Linked DNA regions of Arabidopsis thaliana. The protein of the gene in region 1 interacts with the protein of each later gene in a pairwise test. Each region holds a gene or a part of one and is shown in the gene's direction. Other genes may lie near its edges. The genes, in order: AT5G59950, MAGO and Y14.

Region 1 (8,167 bases):
GAGAATATTGAGGATATTGCGCCATTTAAGGTGGTTGGGGATGACTTGATTCGTCATTTTAGTCACAGCAAACATTCTTTAAGACTCCACAAGAACAATATCATTTATGATGATAGTACACGATGTGAAGCATGTGGCCATCCAGTCGAATTTGGTCGAATATACAATTGTGAGGAATGCTGTTTCATTCTTCATGAAAAGTGTGCTAATCTCCCTATGAAGAAAAGGCTTGTCTTTTCTACCTTACCATTCCTATTACTGGGACCGGGTAATGATGTTTGCAAGGTTTTAGATTGCAAGTTATGTGGAATGTTTTTTACTGGTTTCGAGTACAAGTCCCAAGAAAGGAGGCAAAGCGATATCGATGTACATTGTGGTTCCCTTACGGAGCCGTTCGTCCATGATGGCCATTTACATCCCTTATATTTTGATCAAAAGCAAAAGGAGCTTCCTTGCAATGCTTGTCAAAAAACCATAAGAGATTATATGCTTTGTTGTGCTGATTGTGACTTCAATTTGTGTTTATGGTGCGCTAGTCTGCCAAAAAAGATAAGGCATAGCAACGATGAGCACATTCTCACGCTATGTTGTGGTGAAGAAGCAAATGGAAAATATTGGTGTGATATCTGTGAGGCAGAGTTGGATCCAAGTAAATGGTTCTATACATGCTTTGGTTGTGGAGGCACATTGCATGTGGAATGCGTACTAGGAGATTTCTCACGTCTCATGCCAGGATGCACCATTGACTACCGGGTATATACCGTGGAGGTGGTTTTCAATAATCACAACACGCGACCAATGTGCAGCCGGTGTCACTCTCGATGCAAGGTTTCTGTAATCCTTAAGTTTCGTGAGGGTAACATTGTATATTTTTTTTGTTCACGTTCATGTTTTCTGATGCATTTCTCATATTATCTGTGAGGCATTGCTACGATTTTTCATGTGAGAGGAAAAGGCTTTGATGTTTTATTCTAAATTGATGAGTGTATCTTTTACGGTGGTTTCTCAATTCTTCCCCTATTTAATCTTATGAAAATTATTGGTGTGATACATGCGAGAGAGAGTTAGATCCAATTAAATCGTTCTATACCAGTAAATCGATCGATACAGTTACTTTGGAGACTTATGTTATTGTTCCCGTTCATGTTTTGTGAAGTACTTTGCAATAAACCGGTGGATCTTTCTTGGTGGTTTCACACTTGAAAAAATATTCGCGGTGAACCTTTATTTACCGCTTTTATTCCAGTTAATTAGAATTTGTCACCTAATAAAAAAAATTAAATTTATTTAATTATAAAATCTTTTTTGACAGACGGATAAGACCATGTTTTACCTGATTTATGGGCGGGCGGATAAAACCATCACCGCCTGCCATTGAACATCTTATCTGTCATGACTATTCTCCATTCACTAGTCTTTTTGAAGAAGCGAGAGGAGGAGCCCCTTTTTGAACAACTACTTTTGACAATCAATAGAAATCCAAAAGCTAAATCGATTCATATCAAACAATATTGCTAAAATATAATATCGAACGCAACAATAACAACTACAGCATGTTGTGCAATGTAATATTTCTCGGAAATAGATAGTCAATGCTATCAAATCATGATTTATAAGTTTAGAATATATATCTAAAAAGTAAAAACATATTTCGGATCAAATTCGAATATTTTGATTTTGACTTTAAAATAAAAATATTACAATCCTGATCTGGAAACTCTGTATCATATTTGTTGGAAGTTGGATGGGATCAAAATTTCTCTAACCTCCACGTTCAGCTTCCATTTCTCCTAAAGAAAAAGAGAAAAGAAAGAATCTCATTCACATACATCATACATGGATACAGGAGCAGTAAAGCTACCCATTCACGAGCACCCTATATTTCCTTCGGCTCGGATCGTTTTTAGTACATGTAAAGGCTGCGGTGTAGAAGATTTCGTCTACGGCGGGTACGTCTGCAATGATTCTGACTGTAAAGCTCGGTTTCATAAGGAGTGCGCTGAGGCCCCATCTGAGATCAGCCACTCTTTCCACCAACAACATCCTCTCTTTCTCACCAATGGCCTGGGAGATCTTCCATGTGATTTGTGTGGACAAAAGCGATTGGAAGCCGCTGGTTATAGTTGTCCCACATGTGAGTTCAAGCTGGATTTGACTTGTGGGATAAACCCATCACCGCCTGCTATTGAACATCCTATCTGTCATGACCATCCACTTGTCTTTTTGAAGAAACGAGAGGAGAAGGCCCCTTGTGAAGTTTGCAAGGATTCTATTGGTGGACCTTCCTATTCTTGTCTTGGATGCGATCTGTACTTCCACGTGGATTGCGTCCATCTCTCAAAAGAGGTAAATCATCCTTGCCACCCTAGTCATCCTCTCAAGCTCATCGCATCTGAATCACTTACGGATAATGCTGAGAAGATTTGTCTTTTATGTGAACAACAACCAGAAAATATGCTTTATTATTGTTCTGTTTGCAACTTCACATCATGCCTTGGTTGTACTAAACGCCCACCACCTCTTTTTATCGAGCATACCAAGACCCACAAGCATCAACTTACTCTCTTTCTAAACGGAATTTCATATCAAGGTTCCGCGCTGACATATAACAGCAGAGCTTATATGTGCCTTCCTTGTGGTTTCGTTGTCAATGGGAATGGTATCAACCTACCTCAAGTCATAAACATCAACCGTCACGACCATCGTATCTCTTACACTCATCAGCTTGGCCCTGGATATTTGAACTGCGGAGTTTGCCGCGAAATTGTTGACAGGGATTGTGGGGCATATGCTTGTGTCGTTTGCAGTAACTATGCAGTTCACTGGGAATGCGCAGTACATGATAATGTATGGGATGGTGTGGAATTAGAAGGGACATCTGAGATCACAGAAGATATTGCACCATTCAAGGTAATGGGTGATAACTTGATAAGTCATTTTAGTCATGAACAACATACTCTAAGGCTGCACAAAGAAGGCATCATTCATGACGCGTACGCACTATGTGAAGCATGTACATATCCGATCGGATTTGATCCGATCTACAGTTGTGAGGAATGTCATTTCATTCTCCATGAAAAGTGTGCTAATCTTCCTATGAAGAAGAGACTCGTGTTTGCAACCACACCATTCAAATTAGTGGGAGCAAGTAGTCGTGTTCGTGATGTGATAGACTGTGGGTACTGTGGTGAATGTTCTACTGGTTTTAAGTACGCATCTCAAAGAGGGTGGGAGATAGATGTACATTGTGGTTCTCTTTCTGAGCCGTTCGTTCATAATGGCCATTTGCATCCACTATATTTTGATTCTAAGGAAAATCACTCTTGCAATGCATGCCATAAGGTAACGGTTCATATGCTTTGTTGCAATGCTTGTGACTTTGATTTGTGTTTAAGTTGCGCTAGTTTGCCATTAAAGATAAGGCATAGAAACGATGAGCACCCTCTCACTCTATCTTGTGGTGAAACGGCGAATGGAAAGTATTGGTGCGATATATGCGAGACAGAGTTAGATCCAAGTAAATGGTTCTATACAAGCTTTGATTGTGGAGTCACATTGCATGTGGAATGCGTACTAGGAGATTTCTCACGTCTCATGCCAGGACGCATGGTTGATACTGTTGGGGGAAAGAAATTTTATGTGGTTCTTAACAATCACAACACTCGACCATTATGCAGCATGTGTCGCTCTCGATGCAAGGTCTCCGTCATCTTAAAAGCTTGTGATGAAGACAATGTATACATATGTTCTCGTTCATGTTTTTCTGATATGGTTTCAGCTAGATCATGTTGATTGAGTGTTTAATTTGTTTAATTTTGTGTGGAAAGGATGAAACTTCGATACCCTTTATATTTTACAAGATGAGTGAATTATTCATGGTTGCATTCGCTAGCTGCCCTACAAGTCCAAATTCAATATCTGATTTTAATTTGAACTTCTTTACTTTGCTCGTCTTGCAACATAACTGAGTTGTGATTTAAATTCTAATAGATACTGTTAAGGGTTTCCATGTCTCTATATTTTATCTATATAAAGATATGCCTAAGAGTTTATAATTCCATCACTCATAAGATTAATGCAAGAAAATATCTTAGAGACTACAAGGTTCAAAGATATTTGTTTATTCTTAGTTATGTTTTCTAAGATTTCTCTAAATTTTGCCCGAATTCACAACACAGCTTTAATTATCATTATACTCTTCCAGTTTTATCTGTAAGAAACTAGAATGCAATCAGACTCATTGTTATGCGATAGCATGATCACTTATAGTTATGAAAATCATTGTTATACGGTAACATATTGAAAATATTGAATTGCTATACACCGAATGGCCAAGTATATATAACCAAGGTAAAAATATGTCAAAATAATGGCTTCGCCCGGGTTCGAACCGGAGACCTTCAGTGTGTTAGACTGACGTGATAACCAACTACACCACGAAACCTACATGCTTCTTTCTAACCTCAACAATATATATATACATATAGATAACTGTTTAATATTGTAACTTGTAACCAGTGTCGGCTAATTTCGACTTTTGTAGATCTTTTTCTGCTCTTTCTCTCTCTCTCTCTCTCTCTCTCTCTCTCTCTCTCTCTCTTGTATTATTTCTATCTCCCCCGCCGTCGAAAGAGAAACGTCGATCGGAGAACCTTTGAAATGTCGACTGGATTAGATATGTCTCTCGACGACATGATCGCCAAGAACCGTAAGTCTCGTGGTGGAGCCGGCCCCGCTCGTGGAACCGGATCCGGATCCGGACCGGGTCCGACTCGCCGCAACAACCCTAATCGGAAATCAACCCGATCTGCTCCATACCAATCAGCCAAGGTCCAAATCCGTTCTACATCTGTTCTTTCTTCTTCTTCTTCTTCTCTCTAGTTTCGCCGGATCTTTCTTCTCAGATCTGCCGATTCATAATGGAAAATAGACTCTGCGTTGACGTTTTCTTTAAAAAAGCTTTTGGTGTTGATCAATCTCTCAATACGTGGAAAATATCAAACAACGGATTCATTTGGTTGTATAGGCGCCGGAGTCCACCTGGGGTCACGACATGTTCTCCGATAGATCTGAAGATCACCGATCGGGACGTTCCTCCGCCGGAATCGAAACTGGAACCAAGCTCTACATTTCCAATTTGGATTACGGTGTCATGAACGAAGACATCAAGGTGCCTAAATTGTTCTTTACCCTAATTCTTTGTTAATCTGCATAGTTAGGGTTCCTGGAATCTAGCATCGTCTTACCTGAATAGATACCAAATATAATGGATTCGATCCTGCGAAGTAGTTAATATGAATATGTTTGTTAATATGCAGGAACTGTTTGCTGAAGTTGGAGAACTTAAACGCTACACAGTTCATTTTGATAGAAGTGGAAGATCAAAGGTACTTGTGAATTGTGATGATAGTTTTGTATGTCTCCTTCCTCTTATTGAGTCTTGATGACTGAAGTATTGTAAACTACTTTATTACCATTAGGGAACTGCTGAAGTAGTGTATTCTCGGCGTGGCGATGCACTCGCAGCTGTGAAGAAGTATAATGATGTTCAGCTGGATGGAAAACCCATGAAGATAGAGATTGTGGGCACTAATCTTCAAACTGCTGCAGCCCCGTCTGGTAGACCTGCGAATGGAAACTCCAATGGTGCTCCATGGAGGTGAGATTAAGCACTGCTCATTACTATGTGTTATATGTAAAAGCTTCTTCCATCTTGTGAGGTGTATTGAAAGTGTGTTTGTCTTACTGGGTTAGCAGAGGAGGACAAGGGAGAGGAGGTCAACAACGAGGTGGTGGACGAGGAGGCGGTGGCCGAGGTGGTGGTGGTCGTGGTAGGCGTCCTGGTAAGGGCCCTGCAGAGAAGATTTCTGCGGAAGATCTTGATGCGGATCTTGATAAGTACCATTCTGGAGATATGGAGACAAACTAAGGAACGTGACTGATCTTCTCAAACCGGTAGGGGTTTTAGGAGGAAGAGAATCGAGAAAATGTTTGCCAGAGGCTTTACCACTTAGCGCCTTTTTGGCTGTGTTGTTCATTTGTTTCATTAGAATGACTTTACAGAATTGAGAATATGTGTTATTTAAAGTTGTTGTCTATCTTAATACCCTCAAGTGAAAGGCAGAGGAAGGAATACCAATTTCGTTTACAGATCATATGCAGGCAAAAGAGTTTTCAGAAATCAGGTTTAGTTACTTGTATTGTGTCTCTTATCCAAGCCATGCCTTGTGGTATTATGAGCGCAGAATTTTGATTGAATATTGTTCATTTGCATTAAAGTATCAAACCATTTACGCAAAATTGTTCAATAGTGTTACTCCATGCATGAGAGGATTTTCAGAATCTATCGTTCCAGTTCTGTATATTGTGCGAGTCTCAACTTTTTAAGTTTCTCTCTCTATTTCTAAGCATGTCGAATTAGTAATATACACAACGTTGGATGATATCATGGTCCATGAATGGTGAAAAGTTTAAGGGTTCTTAGTTCTTACAGATCCAATACAACTAAAACAGAAGGCCGAAATGGTTTATCTTCTACACAAGAAGGGTTTCTGGACACAATACACGTCCTCTATAGCAAAATAACAATTTTACCAATGACAACAAAACAAGTCAAAAGCTTATCCATGGGATCTTTCACAAAACGGAGTTTATCTTCTCTGTAGACAGTAATACAGGTGAAGGTAAGGTTCACTGGTTTGCCTCTTTGACCAAAACCACATTATATACACAAGGATTGGATTCCTGCTGTAAGCTTCATCAAAAGTAAAAGCTATTCAGCTCTGCCTTGGCTTTTCTCGCCGTGAAAAGATGAGCCTTACGATAGAATAGAGTACCGCCTTAATGCAAGAAACCACAAAGTTCCAGCATGAGGATGGCCAGTACCACGGATATAGCAGCCTGAAAAATAGACTAATGAGATGCCTCGGGTAACGCCCAACCTGCAAGACAAGAGCATCACAATGTTACAAGCCAAGCCTATCCATAATGTGATCTATATGCAAGTGTTAAAGACATCAAACGAGCGAACTTGAGCCTGTTTTGCTGAACTTTGGGAGCTTTCAGATTTTTAGGTGATTGCCTAAAACTCTTAGATGATGTTTTTGAAACCCATACACACTTACACTGGATCTTGCAATCAAAACAATGGGCCTAAACCTGAACTTTTTACAAGGTAATACTCACAGGAAAGAGGGAATCCAAAGCATCCCAGGCTGCATGACGGACGGCTCTTGTCGGGTACATTGGACCTCCAGGAGAGGTAAAACTGTATAAACACGCCTTTAACCTTGTGCTAGTAGTCATTCTCAGTTCCATACCTGCAGATGAAATCAAACATTTCTTATAACTTTGATTCCATGTTAGATGCAGAATCTAGACAAGTTCCTAAAGGAGAGAAATGTACCTTGAAGAATCTTCATCTGAGAAAGATAATGTAGCAGCACTGGTTCCACCTTCAGTTTTTGCAGCTGCCGCAATAAAATAAGAAATATTAGATGAGTGATGTGTGTGATACAATTTTGAGAGAAATTGAAGATAGTCATAAAGCTTTTGCTTCTATACCTGATCAGTTAGTTCGATAACAAGGAAATCTCCAGGTCCTCCAATCAAGAAAGCATTTGGAAACTCTGGGAAGTTCCTCAAGAAGCTATCGAGTTTATCCACTGGACAACAATTTGTCAGTGAAAGAAGAAACGCTTTGGTTCCAATGATAACTTTTCAGAGAAAAATGTCTTACCTGAATTGTAAAAGAAAATGAACCTAGAGAGTAAGAGATACAGTTCCCTCTGAGCCTGAAAATAGGTATATGGGAAAGTCAATCTCCAGGTTCTCCATCAGTTGAACCATCATGAGAATGAAGAAACTCACCTGAATGGGAATTTTTTTCAATCGTATCTGCTCCAAAGCAACTTCCTCAAGGAGATACTAAGAGAACAAAGAGATGTTAGTTACAGTGGCAAAATTGCATGGCGATTTGAGCGTACAGTAACAACCCGATTTGACAAGTACAAAGCAATATTTATTGCCTAGAAGATGTATAAGAGGCATTAAACAAAGTAACATCTTAGAAAGAGGATGTGATGATCTCTAGCATGTGTGGTTTACATGGTCTAGCTGGAAGGCCAGTAATTGGGTTTTTGTTGAGAACATAGTCTTCCTTAATACA
Region 2 (7,640 bases), on another chromosome or scaffold:
AAGACGGAGGGGTATATTGGTAAAACTAATTAAAAGGACCAATTGATTCAATTGTGACGCGTAACTCAAAGCCCAAAGGCCGATGATGCTTCTGGATGAATTTGTTGAATCCATTACAGTAAGTCAGTAACAAGCATCTCCGTTGTTACATTACATCATGTCCTCTCTGAGGAATGCTACATTACATCGACCCAAAACATTGTCTCTATTTGTAGGATTACCTAACATCCAGGCCATTTCTTATGAAAAGGATCTTCCTTCTTCATCTCCCGGTGCAAGTATACTTTGGCTTTTTTTACCTGCAATTCAACATTACATTACATTACATTCCATGCACCTATTTTGATGAAATACTAGCCCCACGCCCACCGATTTACCAAGACAATGGGAGGGAAACCTCGCCGCAGCTCAAGTCTCTCAAAGCCTTCTTCATAAAATAAGCACTTGTATCCATCTACAGAGGAATGCTCGCTGCACCAAGCATGACAACAGTGTTACATGTTGACCACCAGTGGTATCTTTTTTTATTTACTATGAATTGCTTTCTACTATATGATGAAATACTCACTTCACCAGGTACGTGAAATTTCGGTTTCGCAACTCCTCCACTACTATCTCTTCTTCTTTGGAATATCTGCATTGCACAACAAAATTTTATATCCTCCTAAATAGATAAACAGATACCTCTTCTATGTATTCAAAGGCAATGTAGAATGATCCCTTTTCCAACAAAGTGATATTCGTATCCAAGAAAATGAACATGAAAAACAAACAGATGCCTCATCTCGCACAAATGGGTGCTTCCGAGTGGCAACTTTTTTCCATGTACATTGATATTTCCTTTACTTTTACCAACCCTAAAACGAGGTAGTACAGCTAACATACCTCCACGGAAAATCATCTTCACAAAAGCGAGATATTCCATTCATCGCACCAAAAGTGTCTATGTGAACCCACTCTTCCCCAGCTACATTTGCAGGATGGCCTGAGAACCATGGAAGGCACCAAGTCAATTAATCATATTGTAGGCAAATTATCAACCAGAGGTAGATAGACACCACAAAACAAACGCTGACCAGCAGATGTTTCTTGTTTGATAGCCAAGTCAATGCTGCTGCATTAATAACAAACCCCAATAACAGAATAAGTCACTCACCAATCTGATGCAAGCGCTTTAAAGCATAGCCGCTAGGATAATTGTAGTAAGATGCCATGAATGTTACAACCGTGCACCCTGCACTATAGAACCAGGTTTAGTAGACTAGCAAATCTCTTTCCTTCTCTTACATAGCAAAGATAATTGTTTACTATTTCTACCTGATTGCAAAAAACGCTAGCATAACCATATTCACCAGTTTCCAAATCGTTTTCTTCCTATTATTGTAGCTGTACAACAAAATCGGATTATATTAAGAGGTCGGCCCGCATTGGTAGTAATTTAAAGTGGCATACAGAAATTATGTGTATCCAAACTCCAAAGAGCTCTTAAGATACAGAATCAAAGAACGTCCTAGCTATGATTGAAAGCTTAGCTAGCAAACATCTGATAGAACTCATACATTCTGCTAGCAGCAACTGCAGCAGACAAGTTGAACATTGGCACTGAACTAATGATAAATCGGAGTTCCTTCATAAATCAAGAAAGATAGGTAAGCCGATGTCAGAAAATGGTTAAGAAACGTTGATGGCTACTGAGATAAGTAATCCATCTGAATACCTTGTGTGGAAGTTTAGAGTATAGTATAACGAACGATAAAACTGGAACTATAAAGAATGGAACCCTTCTGTCAACTAAAGTACCAAGCTGCATAAAAAGAAACCAAATAAGAAAATTTGTAGAGATACAATTAGCGATCCTAACTAGAAAGGAACAAGACAAACACTATCACAGATGTTAGGAAGTCTGGTATTTACCAATGAAAGTGGATAAGCTACAAGTAAAGACCGTGGGAGTGCTGAGGTGAAGTACCAATGTATGGAATGTGTCTAGTTTAGCAACTAATTTTCAAGGACAACACATCATTTCATACAAATGCAAGTGCCACAATATTAAACTTTGAATTGGAAATTCCAAACGGTTATCATTGTACAGAACGCAATCCTTTAATCAGGCAGTAGAAAAATGCTAGAACATTATGCATCATATGAAAAATAAATCAATTGAGGAAACAATTTTTTTGAAGGATACACCCCAATCAGAACTCCGGTTTAGAATGGAGTTAAACCAGAAAACTTCAAATTCTGGCCAGACAAACTTCTTCCACATGATAGAGTCAACGAAAATGGTAAGACCTGTGCTAAGGATTATTCCATGACCACAGAAAATAGACTCGGGAATTAGTGTCTGAAGGGAAAAAGCAAAATAGATCACAGAAAGAAGAGGAATTTTAACCAACCTACGGCCAACAGAGCGGTTCCAACACAATACTTAAGTGCTTTCCAGAAGGAGATCGATTTGGTCTGTCATTGACAAACATAAAGCACCCGCATCAGATGGAACGGTAAAGTATACGGCCAATTATACATATACAGAAGTTGAGAACCCAAACTATTTAATATTCGTCACCAGCTCACCAATAAAAGTTCAAGACCAATAGGCCCAAGCAGTAACATCGTATCGCATCTGAAGATTACAGTGGCAAAAATCTGATTATCGGATAACAGAGATGTCAGCAAACCCCATAGTTCTGGATAGCATGACCGATTTTCTAAATCTATAATCGAGAAAATATGTCACCACAAAGATAATACATACCAGGAAACTCAAAGCTGGATAAAAATTTCCCTTTAACCAATTACCATATGCCAGATTGACTGCAAAATCAAAATTTAAAAACATAAGCAGAACCTAGTAAGGCCTACGCTAGATGGGTCATGGGAAAGATTGCTAGGACATCTGAAGGACCACTACTAGTAGAGTAAGATGAATAGAAGTAATTACCTAATCCCAAAGCTAGAATATTAGGAAGAGGACGAGTGCAGTAGAAAAGAAAATGAAACTGAAGACTGGTGAAAAGTACAAAGAAAGTTTCCACTTGATTTCCAAACTTTTTTTTTATCTGACAAACCAGTAGATTTTGGTCAGTGGCAGTATATAGGAGAAAAACAGCCAACAAGATGCATGTAAGAGATCCCAATTCCAAGGACATGGGAAGGGACAAAGAATCAGATAGGGGAGTCAGAAGTGTGGTATGGAAAGAAGCACTAAAGGAACTTCATACCTGAATCCGGAAAAATCTTAGTGTGGACAATATGATGCAGCCCAACACCAAACGAGCTGCAAGACAAAATGATAAAACTATGATGTGAATTGGTTTTGTCTGTGTTTAGGGGAAAATAGTTAGCGATTCATTAAGGAATTATATAGGGAGGGAGAAACAGAAGAGAAACCTGCAACAAGGCTATAAACCTTGGGGAAGCCAAGGCAGCTGATAATTGATACAACAGGTGATGCAAAAACAGAGACTATGAAGGCTCCTGCAAGAACAAATCAGAGTGGAATAAAAAAAAAACCATCCACTAATGTATAATGATAAAAAAAAAACCATCAACAGGTGATGCAAAAACAGAGAGCGAAATTCAACAGCCCTCCTTACCAATAAAAGTTCGAGGGACAACACCGGGGAACTCCAAATGATCATACTGATAGGAAAAAAATAAAAAGACAGAAGTCGGTAAAAATTGACATCACTCTAGAGATAAAAAAAAAAAGAGTAAAGCTTCAGAGAAGAAGTAAAAAGAGAGGTCACTCACAGAGTCCAAATGATGGCGATGGTAAAGAATGTCGTGCATTGACTTGAGACGAGTGAAACGGTTTCAGTAAAACGGAGAAAGAGTGTGACTCTAAATACTTTGAAAACCTACCTGAACGTTGAAGCTCTCTTCCACCTTAGTATATGGTGCCATGACCACATAGATTGCAGCTACAGATCCCAGAATCAAATCATATCCTGCTCCCACCAATCGAAAGTTTCAGTTATATAAAAAAAGAAAAAGAGATCATCTGGCCGCCTAAGAAGACGAAACGAAGAAATTACCATAGGATTGAAGAAACTTGGCCATTTTCGAATCCGTCGGCATCGTCTCTGTATCGGGGAATCGGAAATCAGGCAGCCCGGATACACACACAATTTCGATGGAAACAGAAAAACTAAAACTGGGCCTTAACTTTTCGGGTTACAAATGGGTTCTGGCCCAATATGTAAGCCCATTACCTTTTTTCTTTTGCGGGGACGGACTTAAAGAAGGGCAAAGGACACGGAGAGGTAATCTCGATCTCGAGAAAGAAAGAAAAAAAGAGAAGGCATGGCCGCGGAAGAAGCGACGGAGTTCTACCTGAGATACTATGTCGGTCACAAAGGGAAATTTGGACACGAGTTCCTGGAGTTCGAGTTTAGAGAGGACGGTAAGCTCCGTTACGCCAATAACTCTAACTACAAGAACGATACTATTATCCGCAAGGAGGTATTTCTCACCCCCGCCGTGCTCAAGGAATGCAAGCGTATCGTCTCCGAGAGCGAGGTCCTTTTTCTCTCTCTCTTCCGATTTGCTTCTCTCTTGTTAATTGTCCGCGTTTTGGTCAATCGACGCTATAATAGCCAATTAGGGTTTTAGTGATTTTGCTTCGATTTTTGTCGATCTAGGGCATCTTTCCTGACTAGTGTTGTAGGTTTAGAACCCTCTTCGTTGTTAATGCTATTATCTAGGAATAATGGATGATTTTGTACAACCTGACATGTGATTATTTGTCTGCGGGTAGATTCTGAAAGAAGACGATAACAATTGGCCGGAACCTGACCGTGTTGGAAAGCAAGAGCTCGAGATCGTCTTGGGTAATGAGCATATCTCATTCGCTACATCTAAGATTGGATCTCTTGTTGATTGCCAGAGCAGTAATGATCCTGAAGGACTTCGCATCTTCTACTATCTTGTTCAGGTCTCCTCTCTTTTTCTTCCACCCCTTGCCTTACCATCTTTTCTTTTACCTAATCCCTTAACTCTATTGGACTCGATTATATATTTAGGACTCTGCCTTTTAACGTATTCACTGTCTCAAACTTTAACATTTAGGGTTTGGCTGTTAACACTCATCCCTTACATGGTTCTGTAGTTTTTTTTTTTTTAGTTTCTGTATTTATTTGTGCTCTAACATATTCCTTTTGAAACTTTCATGGTTGCAGGACTTGAAATGTCTTGTTTTTTCGCTCATCTCTCTGCACTTCAAAATCAAGCCTATCTAGAGAAGAAAATCAGTTTGTGACATGTCAAGACGCGATGAATTTGTTGGGAACATGAGGACTTTGTGACTGAAGTTTGGTTGTTTTTATGTCTCTGGTTCTCTGTTTTTTTTTTTTGTTGGATTTGGGTGAAAGTGGGTATGTAAGATGTTCTACCTCAACTTTTGGTCCTTTTTTGTGTCAACATCCCATGTGAAGAACCTTTCATGAACCACAACCTATCTTCTAAAAACCATATACTTGCTGTTTTCTTATCACAAATCATTCACTCTCCCTAATGTACATCTACATATGATGCATGTTTCTTTTCCCTCAAGCCAATTTAAACTAAGGAATGTGATCTATCTAAAATACAAAGTATCAAAAACTAGCTGGATTAGTCGATAATTAGGATTGTTTCCATTCTAAAAAAACGCCCTCGGACCATTCAAACTGCTCCTCCAAAACCCGTAAATCTGGTTTTGCATTGAAGATATCAAGAGTAGCTTTTTATGAATCGGGAAGAACAATGGAGGATTCATTTGTCAGTGTCAGGCGGATTACTCACAGCCTAGACAGAGGACGCACCTGCCATTCATCCTCAGGTTAAGCACGCACTAGTCTCCTTTACCTTGTTGTAGTGTGTTGCAGAGAGTCACATGCATATTTCATCTTGTGGCAGGATCAGGTGCATGGTTAGGGCGGGGACTGGCTTGTGTTTGTGCACAGAAAAGGGATCACCACTCTCGTTATTCCTTTGATCTCACCCCTGCTCAGGCACCAACTAGCATCAGCTAGTTAGTTAGTTACCTTTTAAGATGGTCGGGGAAACATTAGTAGCTGGTTAGTTAGTTAGTTACAGCAGCTTTGGGTTAAGAGAGATAAACGCGAAGCCATATATATTGACAATTGGATGGTGTATAATTTATTGTTAGAAAACGAGTCCGCATTTGATATTCGATATTGCATTGCGTTCAAGGTGATGGATGATAAGTGGCTCACAATGCGGGATTCCTACATGGATTTTTTTTTTTTTTTTTTTACATGGATTTTAACGTAGCCTTTCTCCTCCATATAGCTTTGACTTTAAGAGATCAACTCAGTCTTCAGAGACTGAGTGTAAGTAAATTTGTGTTTGTTTGGCAGACGGTGCTGAAATCGACAAGGCATCAACTGGAGAGAGAGCTTCTACTGGAAGATGGGACCCGAGTCCAAGCCTTACCTTGTTTTAACCTCCTCCTCCAGAAAGAGTTAGAGTATATCTCCCAACTTAAAATATAGATGTCAATCAAAAAGCAAGCAACAATTGGAAAAATGAATCAAGAAGACTAGTATAGATCCAACATCTGGGAACCACAAAACAATCTCCAATTGCTGAGTGGATCGTAGGAAGGGCCAATTTACAACCCTAAACTTGTGAAAGAAGAATGAATTTTAATCTTGGCGTTATTGGGCCTCCGCTCCTCTGGACTCTGTCGGGCTTGATCCATTTTCGTTGCTGAGTGGATCGTAGGAACCCTAAACTTGTGAAAGAAGAATGAATTTTAATCTTTTGCATTATTGGGCCTTCGCTCATATTATTATTCAAGGCCCAAACACTGAATCTCCTCCTCTTGTAAATCGCGAGAGAAAATCAGAAAAGAGAGAGAGAGATCTCTGGCTCTGTATCGCTCGCTGCTCTTCCTCCCACAGATCGAAAACCATGAATCCTGAGTAGTAAGTTCCTTTCTCCATCGACACATACTTGGGTCGAAATTACCTCTGTTATATATTTGATTCTCCGGGTGGTTCCTAGGGTTTAATTAGCGTTTTGGGATTTGCAGCGACTATCTTTTCAAGCTCCTGCTTATCGGGGATTCTGGCGTAGGCAAGTCTTGTCTTCTTTTGAGATTCTCTGTAAGTTTTTTTTTTTGTCTTTTTCTTTCTCAGAGATCAAACACTGTAGCTTTCTACATTTGTTCATGTTTGTTGTTCTGCTGCAGGATGATTCTTATGTAGAAAGTTACATTAGCACTATTGGAGTCGATTTTGTAAGTTGATGTTTTCTTTTTTTTCTTCTTGCTACTGATGACGATGCTTTGATCTGACCTTTTTTTTTTTCTTATATATCTCTTGTTCAGAAAATTAGGACTGTGGAACAAGATGGCAAAACAATTAAGCTCCAAATTGTATGTAACTATTTTCACACTTGTCAAGTTAATAGCTCTACGTCTCTTTCCCTTAATTCATATTTTTCCCTCTTCACTTATTTTCAGTGGGACACTGCTGGTCAAGAACGGTTCAGGACTATTACTAGCAGTTACTACCGTGGGGCACATGGAATTATTGTAAGCAACATCTTATCTAGGTTCTTTCTGTTGACTCCTTTAAGTTTATGTCCTAATTTAGTTCTTGCACCTGGTAGATTGTCTACGATGTCACAGA
Region 3 (8,315 bases), on another chromosome or scaffold:
AGTCTCTTTAACAAATTGAAACCAACCTAAGCGACATTCATATAGTTCCCTCGAGTCCTTTCCAGACGGACTTGAAGAAGGTGAATAGTTCCCTCTCTCCAACAACTCGTGTAGTTGTTGCTGCTGCCTCCTGCTATTGTTTCACCAAACTATAATAAGAAAACGCCCAAGAGAAAGAAAAAAACATGATAAATAGTAACAAGGACCAAGCATTACTTTTGAAGGATTTTTCCTTTCTCCTTGTATGGTTTAACGAGCACACGTGAGTCACATATGAAATGAGGGTTTCCACGAGCTAATATGGTTCTCACAGTTTCAGCCTTAGCAAAAGTTACAAACCCATACATCCTTTGCTGCTGATATGGAATCCTCACATCATCCACAAGTCCAAAATCTCTACACATTAAAAAAAAACATGACAGTCAAAACAAAGAAACATGACTCCCTAATCCAAATGTACACCAAACAGAGTCCTTCCTTACATCTATAACCCGATTATATCACAACACATGATTTACCTGAAATAGGTTGAGACGTCTTCATCAGTGAAGGAGCTTTCAGATGGAAATGTCAAGTAAATCTGTTTAGAGACTGAATCCTCTCTTTCATGCCTTCCTTGACTAAAATAGTTACCACATTCTTCTCCAAAATGTCCTGATCCGTGTCTGCAAAGAAACAATCACCATGAGGAAAACCAAGCCTCAGAGCTCAAAACTTCTTGATACAACAAAACCAAGAGAACAAACCAAAACCATCTAAAAAAACTTGCCTCAAGCTAAAATGCTACTACTCTTGTTGTGTAAAGTTTAAGTCTTTCCTAACAGAACATACACAGAGAAAGAAAACAAAAAATCCCAAACTTACCTATGCAACATTGGAGAGCCACAAGCCGCCATAAACTGAGCAGCAACCATGCTCTTTTGCTGAGCTAACTTCATCCTCATCATCCCCTCAAGCATGTAATCCATCTCACTCGGCGATCCAAAGACACCAGAGGAACCAAAACCATCAACTAAACCGCCTTGTGGAAATTGATGACAACCATTTCCTCCTCCAAACCATGGTTCCTCTGACTCAAAACAAGCATCGTTAGCAGAGAAACTCCTCTTGTGAGAATTGGCAAATGGGTCCTCGTCGTTTGTGAACAGAAAGTTGTTACTGAATTGTTGTTGCTGCTGCTCATCGCCGGAAGAAGAGGCAAAAAGTGATGAACTTTCACGAAAAGGACTAGAATTGAAGTTAGGCTTATTATCTCTGAGTGTGTTCAAAGTTAACGAAGAAGACAAAGGGTTACTAGGGTTTCTCGAGAACTCTAAGAACCCATTTCTGGGAGAAGACGAGGACAATGACTGGCCATGGATATTGATGGGTCTCGAGAAACCGTTCGAGGAAAAACCTAAATCGACTTTAGCTTTCTGACAGAAAGTCTGTATGAGAGAGTCAGGACCAAAAGCAATTCGAATCAAATCTCTTTGTTCCATGTCTTGCAAGAGAAAATAGTCAATGACTCTGGAAGCGTTCTCAAGTTCGAAAGTTCTGATCTTTGAAAAGATTATTGAAGTTGGGTCGCCAGGATCCATGGCCGGAGAAGTTTTGTTTTTCCCCACAAGATGGTGAAGAAGACGAAGAGAAAAAAGGTGAAGGCTCTTTTTGGGTTTGCGTTAAATCATAAATGTATGTTTCTTTTAGAATTTTGTATGATTTTGTCTTTGTAAAAAGCATTTAGCAAAAAAAACAATTTTTTTTAAAAATCGAACCTTTTTTGTTTTTATTGTTCTTTGAAACTGTTATCGATTTTTAGGGATATTCAAGTTTCGTAAAGAGCGAGATTAGAATGGAAAGAAATCATATATATTGACCTGATTATTTTGGCAAATTAAGAGCATTAACAGATTTTAAAAAGATTGTAGTAACAGATTTTAGTAGGTATCAACACTATGTATTCCCTTTTTCATGGATAAAGTAGCTTTTTCAATACATTGTTTTCGTTTTTGTTTTTTTGTTTATTAGATTGATTTGTTAGAAGAACAATTTATATTTGCAGTAAAAGATTATTGGAGATAATTAAATTATTTAGTTAAAATAATTTATATAAAGTAATTTTTTAGTTAACTAAATTATTTGACCCCAAAAAAAAAAAGAAATTCTTGGTCTGCCACTTTCTATACTCTATACTAATAAAGATTTTAGTTTCTTCACCTATAGTAATGGGAATCACTTGGTTCCAACAAAATTGATAATTACAACTGTTTGGTGGATTTAATTTTTTTTTTCTCCCAAACTCTTTGGCGTTACAACCTGCAAGTAAAAGGGGAAAAATGAGGTCAAAAACTCTATCAAAAAACAAAACCAAATGAATAAGGGCCAGGCTTATCCCTGAACATAGCTAAGTGAAAACTAGCATTGTGATGTATAGATTATATAAATCTTAGGACCTGCCCGTAAAGAAAAAGTATACTCTATAAATATTAGGACCTGCCCGTAAAATATTTTTTGCCCTTAACTCTCATGACCGGGCCAGCTAAAGACAAACGGTCACTTGAACTGTGAAGTCTACTATTTTTAGTATAGGGCTCATCGACAACAATTACCCTATCCCATCCCATAAAACAAAATTTTGTCAGGCAGCTGTTCTTTTCCCCGTCACACCAAAACTCGCGCATGACATTAATTTTTCCTCAACACTGTAACGAGTGTACGGTCTTCGGTTACTTCATTTCCAAATCCTACCCGTTAAGATTATCTTTAGATATTATATCAACGGTCGATATAGCTTCTTTAAGGACACGTGTGTTGTTAAATAGTTGTCGTAAATTGACCAGAGTTTTGTACTACTTTAGTCAACAGAACCAGACAATAAATGTTTTCCAAATTAATGCTCTCCCCTCCTCTAAATGACGTAAGTAATTATTGGCGACGAACTAAGATTTGTTTTCTTTAAATGCTTTGCATCTCTCTATGTTTTCTTTCTTAGAATTTGGTCGAACATGTTGGACGAGATTTATTTGAGATTAGAGTGGGAATTAGAAAGCAATATTCGACTATAATGATTGTATGCAAACGGATAAAACAATGATGATCACCATCAAAGAGATGGACCAGTATCGACTGTAAAGTGTTAAATACCACAATATGATTGATAGTATCCTAATTATGAAGTGATACAATAATTTGACATCATGAATGCTTAAAAAGGTATGCCATGATTCACTCTCGACATATGAAATTCAGATAATGTAACATTAACAAGAGAAGTTTTCATCAAAGGCTTAAGCCTGTTTTGTAAGAAACCTAAAAAATCAAAGGCTTAGCTTACTCTGAAGCGTGAAAGAATAAATAAAAAAAGTAAGAGCCCAAAATAAGCCCACTAACATTGACGAGAGGAGTTTAATCAAAGCCTGTTTAAAAGGGAAAAGGAAAAACTAGCGTGAGAAAGAAATACAAGCGTAAAAGCCCAAAATAAGCCCACTTAAGGTCCAATATATTCCTATAAACAACACTGGCAGAGAAATATCTTGATAGAAGAAAGAGCTCCGTCCCCAAAAACAAAGGAAACAAAAAATCAGTCGGCGAAACGGGAAGAGATCTATCGGAAATCTTACGGCGGCGGAAGTCATGGCGAACATAGAATCAGAAGCAGTCGATTTCGAGCCAGAGGAGGATGACCTTATGGACGAAGAAGGTACAGCTATTGACGGAGCTGATGTTTCTCCACGCGCGGGACATCCGAGGCTTAAGTCGGCTATTGCCGGAGCTAATGGCGAATCAGCAAAGAAGACCAAAGGCCGTGGGTTTCGCGAGGAGAAAGATTCCGATCGTCAGCGTCGTCTTTCCTCACGCGATTTCGAATCACTTGGTTCAGATGGCCGTCCTGGTCCGCAGAGATGTAATTTCACTAAATCTCTTCCTCTTTCGCTGTTTTTAGTTAGGTTTTAGTGTTGGCATACTGATTCTTCGCGTTGTTGATTTATTTGTGGTAGTAATTTGTTCTAGGGTTTCTCATAACCCCTTGTGTTTGGGATTCAATTTGACCTAGAAGTTTTTTGAAAAAAATTAGATTGGTTTAGATTTAGTTTGTAACCATTATAAAAAATGTAATGGTTCTAGAGTCTGTGAAGATAGAACATAGTTTCTTTGAGGGTAATGAAGAATTGGGACTGTTTTGGATGAATTTGTTTGTTGTGTGTGTTTATGTGTAGCCGTTGAAGGATGGATTATCTTGGTCTCTGGAGTTCATGAGGAGACACAGGAGGAGGATATAACCAATGCTTTTGGTGATTTTGGGGAGATTAAGAATCTAAATCTCAATCTCGATCGCCGTAGTGGTTATGTCAAGGTATGGAGTTTTGCCTTTGTTTCTTAGTGGCTCTTGATGTCATTATGCCTTTTGGTTAGTTATTGTGAAGCTAATTTTTTTGCTTAGTTATGTTGATATCATTTTGCCTTTTGGTTTGTTATAGTGAAGCTTGATTTGTTGGATTGTTGTCATGATGTAATTTAGAGATGAATGCAATACTGTTTTGTCGTAGATGTTGACTTTACTCTTTGACATGCTTTGTGTTAATCAATGTAATACTGAATATCTGAAATTGAGAGCCAAAAATGATAAATTTATCTTTGCAATGTTACATTGCTTTTAAGAGGGAGATGTAATATTCTGTAAAGTGCAATGCTGTTCCCTAAGGACACTTCGTTTAAGTTACTTCAAAGTGTCAGAAATGACGGGTCGAATAAGATAAGCTGTCTTCTAGATGCGAGTTTAGGAATCAAATATTATTTTTCTTTAGTTTGCTTGAGTTCTCATGGAAGTGGAAGTAACACTTTGCTTTTGTTTTTTTTGATAAGGGATATGCTTTGATAGAATATGAGAAGAAGGAAGAAGCACAGAGCGCTATTTCAGCAATGAATGGTGCTGAGCTTCTAACACAGAATGTTAGCGTTGACTGGGCCTTCAGCAGCGGTCCCAGTGGTGGTGAATCTTACAGGAGAAAGAACTCGAGGTTTGTATCCTAATCTCTTTTCTGTTCCGCTACGACTTGTCTGATCTTGTGCCGATATGAAGTCAAGAGTGTCAAAAAGTATCAATTAAGATATAGACTTAGAAGTTTTAACAGTTGACAAGGTAGTATATTGTACTAAGCACCTACCAAACTTTACTGTCTTTATGCTAATGAATCGAAATCACTTGTGACTTGTCAAGTAGTTATACCTTTCTTTAAATCATCATCCATTGATCATTGGGGTTTTACAGGTATGGGAGGTCGCAACGTTCAAGAAGTCCGAGAAGACGTTACTGATTGTATGATTTGGTGGAGAGTTCTCCCCATATCTCTCTGTATTAGGGATTCCCTCTCTTATCTGTAAGGTACTGATGCAAGACGCTGAGTGTTGAACAAATTTTTTTCTGGGGTTTTTGTAGGGTTTGGCTGCTTTTGCATTGGTTTATCTCTTTATGCATTTGCATGGGATTGTTGCGTTTAAACACCATGAGATCTGTTTTAATGCTTTGTATTGGTAAAAGAAGAGAAACATTGGATGAGGAAGAATGTTTTAATTTTCATTCTCTTATTGATTCATATTTAGGTCAGACAGAATTTGAAAATCAAAGACCTTCCATTACACTAGAAAACCAAATATGATTATATAGAAAAAATCAAAGAATTTTCAACCAATGGCATTATTTCACACTGGTTTATTATTCTAGGCGTAACTATTGGTAACCTAAATATGTTAACAGAAATCATCAAATGACTATTAAATATTTTGGCTGAAATTTTCCAATCAATGGCAATATTCACATCGTTTGTTTTTATAGGCGTAACTATTCGTATCCTAAATATGTTAAAAGAAATCATCAAAGGTTTGATGATTTGAGATAGAGCATGTACTTTCTTGCTACTCACAGGTTGCATGATTTCATTTGTACGAATCAATCATCTATACTTTGTGCATTGAGCCAGTCCCACATTATGTTTATGTATCCATCTATTTTAAGGGCTCTCATATACTAACTTACAGCTGAAAAGTATAAATATGAAACAGTTGGAACAGTTATATAAGTTCTGCTTTTGTTGTCACCAACAAAAAAAATGATATGCTTTTACATGATTCCAACAAAAAAAAAACAGTTTTGTATTCTTGTTAATGATGGTGCCAAAGGCTTATAAGACCATACCTTAGATTCTGTTGAATTTAGAATCTGGGTTTCTATCTCTTTTCTGGAAATCTTGTTTCTTTTTGTTTTCTTTTTATACCAAAACTTTGTGAAATCTTAGGTACTTTTGTTTAGTATCAGTTTACTCGTTTAAAAAGAACCAATAAACCTACTAGATATAAATAGTAAGAAGTCTATAACTTAGGGTTGTGTTAAATACTAAACAATGCTTAAAAATGTGGTTAGACATAGCGCTATACTAAAGCTAAAAAGCTAAAGATAACCATAAAATCATGAAGATAATAAATGGACGGATAGACCAAAAAGAAATAATGAAGCATAATACAAAAAAAAAACTATATCGGTTCCAACTACCACACATTTAATTCCTTTCCCTTTTCATTTAACACCTGTGAAGACTCGTTGCGAGGGTTCTCTACCTCTTTATGTCATTCAAACTTATCAATTATCAAGTCTCTTGATTTTACATGTTCAACCAAACACGATTTTTCAAACTTAATTTTATATATCTTCTTCATTAATTATCGAATATCACTTCTCTTGCTTATAGTTACAAAAACTAATACAATGATAATTATATAATTCTATGTGTGAACAAAACGATAAATTTGTCAAAGTATCACTATCAATCCCTTGGAATTAGTAGACAACCAAATATGGATCCTTTAATTGATTTGTGATGTTTCTATTCATTTCGAACTAAATGAAAACATCTCATCGTAAATAATCACACTGTTAAATTTCATTTCACAAAAATATCATTTGATTTCTGTGTGGACGAAATTTCTTGTTAGTTGGCAAGAACCGACATAAAAAATATATTTCATACGTATAATAGTATGTCAATAAGTAGGTGGTTGCTTACTAGTTACTACTACACATGGACGATTGTATAAATATTAGACCTCATTCACACAACTCTCACTCTCTTACATTTAATGTGCAAGAAAATAAAAAAAACTATATACTATAGACGTGTATCTATATATGGTTATGATATTAAAGCCATCCATTAAATGTAATTAGTTGTTTGTTGATTGTTGCTCTCAAGTCTCACCTAAAGAAAACCTTAGGCCTACAAAAATTAATCACTATCTTTATAATTCCATCTCCAACCAATATAATAAAAATAACCTAGACGAAGAACAAACAAAACTCTCTCTTTCTCTCTCTCTCTCTAATAAGTAAGGTTTTGATCTTTTTCAAGATCAAACAAAAACAATGGAGTTAGAGAGTACGAGCAATGGCCGACGTCCGCCGCCACCGGCAGAGATTGGCCGTGGGGCGTACTTGGCGTGGGAAGATTTGACGGTGGTTATACCAAACTTTAGTGGTGGTCCGACTCGAAGATTGCTCGATGGATTAAACGGTCATGCTGAACCAGGTCGGATTATGGCCATTATGGGTCCTTCCGGATCCGGCAAGTCCACGCTTCTTGATTCTCTCGCAGGTTCGTTTTCTTTTTGGTATTAGTGTGAGTGAGATTTATTTGATTATGTACATAAATATTTGTTCTATTTCATTATTTTGTTCTACATAATTTACGTATCTAATTTATGGATTCTTATTATACCTTATGCTAATTCTAGTTGTTAAGTCACACTCATTATTCGTTAAAAGATAAACAAATAAATCATATCTTAAATAATTTTAAATAATTGTTCAGAATTATCCCATGTATATAGGTAGACTCGCAAGAAACGTGATTATGACCGGTAATCTTCTATTGAACGGAAAGAAGGCAAGACTAGACTACGGTCTCGTCGTAAGTATAATCTAATATCAAAATTTAATTCGATTTTTTTTTGGGAATTTTAGAATTTTTATTGGAATTATTACTATGAATAGGCTTATGTAACACAAGAGGACATTTTGATGGGAACACTAACGGTGAGGGAGACAATAACATACTCAGCTCATCTACGGCTATCAAGTGATTTGACCAAAGAAGAAGTCAACGACATTGTTGAAGGAACAATCATTGAACTTGGTCTTCAAGATTGTGCAGACAGAGTCATAGGTAATTGGCATTCTAGAGGAGTGAGTGGCGGCGAGAGGAAACGCGTCAGCGTTGCGTTAGAGATCTTAACGCGACCGCAAATTTTGTTTCTTGATGAACCTACTAGTGGTTTGGACAGTG

The links.
Region 2: the proteins of AT5G59950 (region 1) and MAGO interact in a two-hybrid assay, tested with the Arabidopsis thaliana proteins (one study listed by BioGRID).
Region 3: the proteins of AT5G59950 (region 1) and Y14 interact in a two-hybrid assay, tested with the Arabidopsis thaliana proteins (one study listed by BioGRID).

Annotation. Positions count from the first base shown.
Region 1 is NC_003076.8:24,135,576-24,143,742, forward strand, and holds AT5G59950 (RNA-binding (RRM/RBD/RNP motifs) family protein), read left to right. Parts: upstream 1-4,363; 5' UTR 4,364-4,659; coding exon 4,660-4,830; exon of another isoform or gene 4,831-5,026; coding exon 5,027-5,170; intron 5,171-5,318; coding exon 5,319-5,387; intron 5,388-5,480; coding exon 5,481-5,659; intron 5,660-5,754; coding exon 5,755-5,929; 3' UTR 5,930-6,292; downstream 6,293-8,167. Other genes in the region: AT5G59930 (Cysteine/Histidine-rich C1 domain family protein), read left to right, coding at 1-921; AT5G59940 (Cysteine/Histidine-rich C1 domain family protein), read left to right, coding at 1,837-3,792; AT5G59960 (K-stimulated pyrophosphate-energized sodium pump protein), read right to left, coding at 6,777-6,941, 7,186-7,319, 7,406-7,469, 7,564-7,664, 7,739-7,793, 7,870-7,926. UniProt on the Arabidopsis thaliana protein: Export adapter involved in nuclear export of spliced and unspliced mRNA.
Region 2 is NC_003070.9:401,067-408,706, reverse strand, and holds MAGO (mago nashi family protein), read left to right. Parts: upstream 1-4,250; 5' UTR 4,251-4,305; coding exon 4,306-4,521; intron 4,522-4,759; coding exon 4,760-4,936; intron 4,937-5,180; coding exon 5,181-5,240; 3' UTR 5,241-5,607; downstream 5,608-7,640. Other genes in the region: ALG12 (homolog of asparagine-linked glycosylation 12), read right to left, coding at 222-299, 378-471, 569-634, 886-985, 1,157-1,239, 1,318-1,386, 1,560-1,627, 1,718-1,804 and 12 more; RA-5 (RAS 5), read left to right, coding at 6,919-6,932, 7,040-7,112, 7,199-7,246, 7,337-7,384, 7,472-7,543, 7,621-7,640. UniProt on the Arabidopsis thaliana protein: Core component of the splicing-dependent multiprotein exon junction complex (EJC) deposited at splice junctions on mRNAs.
Region 3 is NC_003070.9:19,100,054-19,108,368, reverse strand, and holds Y14 (RNA-binding (RRM/RBD/RNP motifs) family protein), read left to right. Parts: upstream 1-3,435; 5' UTR 3,436-3,615; coding exon 3,616-3,886; intron 3,887-4,199; coding exon 4,200-4,336; intron 4,337-4,845; coding exon 4,846-5,000; intron 5,001-5,251; coding exon 5,252-5,297; 3' UTR 5,298-5,578; downstream 5,579-8,315. Other genes in the region: AT1G51520 (RNA-binding (RRM/RBD/RNP motifs) family protein), read right to left, coding at 27-130, 217-396, 519-665, 865-1,580; ABCG12 (ABC-2 type transporter family protein), read left to right, coding at 7,397-7,625, 7,861-7,940, 8,024-8,315. UniProt on the Arabidopsis thaliana protein: Core component of the splicing-dependent multiprotein exon junction complex (EJC) deposited at splice junctions on mRNAs.